Linked DNA regions of Mus musculus: region 1 is reported to be linked to region 2. Evidence: microRNA targets listed by miRTarBase, many of them from high-throughput screens and not tested one by one. Region 2 holds a microRNA gene; the other region holds the end of a gene's coding sequence.
The links. Region 2 holds the annotated microRNA mmu-miR-1958 (UAGGAAAGUGGAAGCAGUAAGU, at 1,232-1,253, shown strand). A microRNA usually pairs through its seed, bases 2 to 8, with sites in the 3' UTR of a target mRNA and lowers its output. Matches are read on the target gene's strand: a 7mer-m8 pairs with bases 2 to 8, a 7mer-A1 pairs with bases 2 to 7 and ends in A, and an 8mer does both.

Region 1: miRTarBase lists Il5ra as a target of mmu-miR-1958. Seed matches in the 3' UTR shown: 7mer-A1 at 2,045-2,051, 7mer-m8 at 1,843-1,849, 7mer-A1 at 1,091-1,097 and 7mer-m8 at 762-768.

Annotation. Positions count from the first base shown.
Region 1 is chr6:106,709,928-106,712,927 of GRCm38, forward strand. Il5ra (interleukin 5 receptor, alpha) reads right to left here. Exons shown (of 13, transcript NM_008370.2): 13 at 448-2,538. The coding sequence ends at 2,455. Among named protein-coding and RNA genes, the nearest start is that of Il5ra, 38 kb to the right of the region's middle.
Region 2 is chr4:48,211,235-48,214,386 of GRCm38, reverse strand. It overlaps Mir1958 (microRNA 1958), which reads left to right and starts at 1,172; the gene lies at 1,172-1,268. Erp44 (endoplasmic reticulum protein 44) reads left to right here. Exons shown (of 12, transcript NM_029572.3): 7 at 2,680-2,737.

The DNA of each region.
Region 1 (3,000 bases), not on the chromosome of region 2:
GACCCCTAAAGTCAACTTCAACTTTCATGTGATAATCTCCTCTGTGTTACTGAGCTCCTCTGAGTCTTATTACTGTACCCTTTCCTAGCAATTGACCTTTCTTTTCCACATTTACTGTATCATTAATGGGGGTAGGCAGTAATGTGTATGCCAGTGACACAGTACAGACTTGTAAAGAGCAGAGAGACAGTACAGAGAATCTGGTATGGTGATCTGACCCTTTAGAAAAGATCTAATATTAGCAGTTGTCCATGACTGCTGTACCTTTCATTCTGAGCACAGAATGGTGGATGGTTCTATGTTAATGCATAAGAGCCATGCAAGGGATGTTTTGTACTCCATGTGCACTTCACCCAGATTATGAAACCTGACTAAACCATCTCTATAAAGTACATAAAAAGTAAGTTATGTTGTGGATTTTGAGTACCTTTTCTTTTTTTTAAGGCATTTTTTATTAGATATTTTCTTCATTTACATTTCTGAGGGTTGCTGGGTAGTTCATATTGTTGTTCCTGCTATAGGGTTGCAGACCCTTTTAGCTCCTTGGGTACTTTCTCTGGCTCCTTCATTAGGGGCCCTGTGTTTCATCCAATAGATGACTGTGAGCATCTGCTTCTGTATTTGCCAGGCACACAATTTGCAAAACACATGAAACTCAAGAAGAAGGAAGACCAAAGTGTGGATACTTCACTGCTTCTTAGAATGGGGAACAAAATACTCATGGAAGGAGTTACAGAGACAAATTTCAGAGCTGTGATGGAAGGAAAGACCATCCAGAGACTGCCCCACCCAGGGATCCATCCCATATACAACCACCAAACCCAGACACTATTGCATATACTAGCAAGATTTGGCTGACAGGACCCCGACATAGCTCTCTCTCTTGTGAGTACCATTTCTTCTTTCATTGTCTTTAGCTCTTCAGGACTATGTAAAATAACCACCACTAGGTCCCTCTATCACTACTTATTCCTCTTCCCAACACATAAGTGTGTTTGCTTCTATGTTCAGCCCATCAAAAAGACCTATAGATACAGCTTCATTAATGAAGATATTTAGAGAATACATTTTTATACAATTGTAATATGTATAGGAAACCCTAATTTAAGAGATTAGAATTGACTAAGCATGAGTTGACCAACAGGTTGCCATGAAGGCTCTTTCATCAAACATCTCTTTGGGAAGTACATTCTAGATCCAGCAATCACCTCCAAAGCAGAATTATTTTCAATGTCTTTCTCAGGTCATTTCCAGAGTACCTAGAAGCCTTGAAGAATTTAATCCTTGAACAAGCTTCTGTCTTCTCTCTCAATAGGGAATGGTGTCTTTGTGTTGTGTGTGTACATGTGTATGCATATTTAGGGCAGAAGTCAGTATCAGAGGATCTGCCTAGTCACTCTCCACCTTAAATTTTTAAGACCATTTCTCTCAGTGAACCTAGAGAAAACATAATTGGCTAAACTGGTTGAACTACAATTCCCATGGATCCTCTTGTCTTTATCTCCCAACTCTGGGGTTATAGGAATGTGCTTCTTGCACTGTTTTGTTGTTGCTGCTGCTGTTGTTGTTGTTGTTTCTTGATGCTGGTTGATCAATCTCAGGCCCTCATGCTTCTTCGTCATCTGAACCATCTTTTTCACCCCAGGCACGGTGACTTAAACTTACTTTGGCTTAGACATTTCCTTGAACAGGCCTATGGAACACAGGGACATGTGGGACATAGTCTTTGTTTTTGCCTCAATGTTACCTTATGCTTTAAGACACAGGCACAGTTCTAGAAAGAAAACTATTCTAGAACTCAAAGGGGAAAAGCACCATGAAATTGTGTCTCCCACTTGCTTCAGGAAAGACAGTCTTGAATTTGGGTTCACTCTCAATGAGTTCTATCCTTTCCTCCTGTCACTGTAGCTGAGTGCTACCACTGGCAACTTAACCCAAAGTAAACATGTGTGACATTAGCTTAAAAAAACTGTCTCCTGTGCAAAAAGTTCAAGGTAAGTCAAGCAACTTTCAAAGACACACTGGTATAACATGGTACTCTGGGTAGGAAACCAAAGGCCCATGCTCTGGGTGAGTCTGGTGCTATGCTGTGAGCAAGGAGGTTTGAGTGAGGCATGCACACTTTATGAAATGGGACATTGGTGACTCATGTCTGGATGGGTTGGTGACTTGCATTCAAACTGAGTGTTCATTTTTGTTTGTTTGTTTGTTTGTTTTTTCGAGACAGGGTTTCTCTGTGTAGCTCTGGCTGTCCTGGAACTCACTTTATAGACCAAGCTGGCCTCGAACTCAGAAATCCTCCCATCTGTGCATCCCAGGTGCTGGTATTAAAGGCGAGCTCCACCACCGCCTGGCTCTGAGTGTTCATTTGAAATACCTCCTTGCCAAGAAATAGCAGTCCTTGCTCTTATCACGGAGTCCTGTATGAGTTCATTTCAGAATGGCAAAATGCCATCAAAACGTGGAATTTCCCATGACTTCAAATCCAACCTCTTCCACACAATGTACAACTTCAATTTTGGTTTCATTCGAAGGTTTCTGCAAAACAAAGCAACTTCCTTACAGGTCTTTTAGGGAACATTTCATCTTTGATTTCTTTTTTTCTTTCTTTTCTTTTCTTTTTTTCTTTTTTTTTCTTTTGTTTTTTTCACAGTTGGTTTGAAGTAACTTTTAAAGAACAGTAGTCTGTTTAGAAACTAGGAAAAGTCAAGTGGGAAGAAGAAACTGTAGCTATAAACTTATCTCCTAAATATACCCTATTCCATTTTCTCAGCCTTTCTTGAAGCATAAAGCTTTCTTTTACAATTGTGATGAAGTAACAGGGACACACAGATTTATTTTTATAAAATGTATTATTATTGTTGTTGAGGGTCTTCTGCCATTGAGATATATTGCCCTAGCCCTTGCATAGGTATGTAGATTTTTTTCTTTATATCATCATGTACTCATCCAGCACATTTTCAACACCCATTCCAATCCAAAAAAAGGGAATAATTGGAA
Region 2 (3,152 bases):
GTTTTTTGTTTTGTTTTGTTTTTTGGTTTTTTTTGCAGAATTTAGGAAACGTTGGTTATAGCTCTCTCTTGAAAGTCTGATAGATGTCTGCTTTGAATCCACCTGGACTGGGCCTTTTAGACTTAGAAGTTTATTACAGTTTCAATTAACTCCTTTCTTGTGGGTCTCTTTTGGTTATTGGTGTCATCTTGGTTTAATTTTAATATTTTGGATGAATCAAAATATTCATCTATTTTTTTCATATTTTGCAACTTAATGAAGTAGAGTTTTAAAAAGTATTCCCTTTTAATATTCTGTATTTCTTTGATATCTGATGTAATGTTCCCTGCTCATTTCTGATTCTGTTAACTTGGGTTATTGCTTTCTTTCTTCTGGTTAAGTGGGCCAAGAGTCTGTAGATCTTGCTTATCATTGCAAAGAACCAGCTATTAGAGTAACTGATCTGTTATATTTTCTTTGTTTCTATATCATTGACGTCTGCTTTGATTTCATTTTTTCTGTGACCCACTTATTTAATTCCAATTTCTTAGACTATCACACATGACTGCTGCGTTTACATTTCTACCCAGCCTTCTCCTACCAACTCCTCCTGTCCCTCTACTCCCTCTCAAATTCACAACCTCTGCTTCTTTAATTATTGTTCCATATATATATATATATATATGTATAAATACATATACACATATACATATATCTACACACAAACACATACATCTTGCTGAATCCATTTTATGTGTATTTGTTTAGGGACGACCACTTGAGACTAGATAACGTGCCAGTGAGCTCATCCTAGCAAAGGCTCATCCTTCCTCTCTCAACAGCCGTCAATCAATTGCCTTTAGTCTTCTTCTAGGGTGGAGCCTTGTGATATTTCTCCATTCATGTTGCAGTGTCAATTGATGTTGCCATTGTGCAAGTCTTGTTTATGCAGACATATTGTTGAGATTTCATGGGTACAGCTTCCCTGCCATGTAAGAAGACACAGTCACCCAACAGAGCTTCCAAGTCCTCGGGCTCTTGCAGTCTTTCTGCCCCCTTCTTATACTGTGTTCAGTGAGCTACTTTAGTGTAGGGGTTGTATTGGAGATGTATCAACTAGCTTTGGTACTTCATGGCCAGTTTTTTTCTGAATTTTAACCAGTTGTGGATTTCTGTAATGGTCTTAGTGATGAGCCTAGAAGAGAACTTACTGCTTCCACTTTCCTATAGTTTAATTTCTAACTGCATTCTATAGGAAAGTGGAAGCAGTAAGTTCTCTTCTAGGTTCCGTGACCTCACCAGCTGTGGATAGCTGGCTAGGTTGCAGTACAAAACATAGATTCCTTCCTATTATGCAGGTCGTAAGTCTAGTTATACAGCTTTGTTTACTAGGGAGTAGATGCCGCTGTTACACACTTGGGGATGTCTTGCCTTGCTTGGTATTGTGTGGTTTGTAGGCTTTATAGCTAGGTGGGGCTGTTGCATCCTCCCTTGGCGATTACATAGCACCTTCGGGTACTGTGAGAGCAGGTCCTCAGGGAGGGGGCTTTTAGGTCAGTTGCAGCTTGATTCCTCCAAGACCTGTATCTAAAGTATAGTGTCTTCAGCAACAGGATCATCCTTTGAAGTTCTAAGGAGCAACCAAAGACAGAAGCCCATATTATTTAGGTCCTCTCTCAACTCAACTCCTATCAACAACTAGAAGGAAGGTGTTCCAAGCCTGACAAACGGAGTTTTTGTTAGATAGTTATGGCTTTTGGAGAGAGCATCACACCCAGTGGTATAATTTCATTAGGACTTCATATATACACACATATATTTATGTACATATAAAAGTATATTGGCTCTTAAGCAAACATAAGATAATGTTTCCTACAGCTTTTAGACGTCTCAGTGTCCTCTCCCTCTTCCTGTTGGCTCTTTCTCAGTATTGCCCTCCATCCCCTCTTCCCTTTTCCCATTTCCCTCTTCGTAGCACCTGTGTCTCACAGTTCCCTACTAGAGCTCCTTCCTTATATTCCACTCTCCGTCTAGGTTAGCACCACTTGCTTCCTTAGAGATTGAAGATGTGTCGGTGTTTATTTAATCCTCAAGTTATGTACAGGAAGAGAAACTTACTCATTTGACCTAGGGTTTTCTGTAGGACTCTCTCACCAAATAGTTATTGTACTAGGTAACTATTTGTTATACAAGACCACATATTTGCATGCCAGATACTGTACTAGGCCTAGGAAATGGCAAGTGTCCAAGTGTACAGACATGCTTTCCAAAAACTTTCTATGATGTAGATTATCTCAATTCAATATCATTTTAGAATTTGCAAGTTTAAAAAGTAAGAAGTATAAAGTTAATATATTTTATTGATCTCTGTGGACAAATTAATGTGCTTAATCTATAGATGAAAATCAATATATAGTCAAAATTGCTATCATGCTGACCCTGCCAATCCAGACTTATAAATTCTAATACCAAAGTGGCTGACTGAAACATTATTTTAAAAAGTCTGTTTCATCTTAGTTTGCCTTTAAATGTATGCTTGTCTTGCTATTGTACAGTTTTGTGGATGGGACAGATAATGAACAAGAATATATTTCATGTTTTTATAATTCATGCACTGCAATGATTATGAAGTCTGTTTTATTAAAGTACATTGTTTTTAGTGTTTTCCCTAACACATTATTTTTTTTTCCCTCTTATTAGAGATCTTTCAAAACCAGAAAGGTACAACGGAGACAATGTAATCTACAAACCACCCGGGGTGAGTTTCTGTTTTACAGACTGCTTAAGACACCATAGTTAATACAATTATAATATAAGCAATAGCTTTGTTTTAAATGCTGGAAGAATCATTGATGAATTCTTAACTTTTTAAGTACTAGGGATTGAACCAAAGGCTTGTGTATGCCAGGCAAGTGCTCCGACACTTCTACATTCTGGCCCCTTACTGTGTTTGAGTCAGCGTCTCACTAAGGTGCCAGGCTTGCCTTGAACTTGAGATCCTTCTGCCTCAGCCTCCAGAGAGGTGGGGATGAAAGGCTTGTCCTGCCATGACTGAATGATGTGACTTTGAAACCATCATGGTCTAGTAATCCGTATTTCAGAGTGACGCAGTGTTCACAGAATCCCGAAGGTACAGGCCTGCAGTGACAGTGCAGGCCCCTGACTTCTCTCCC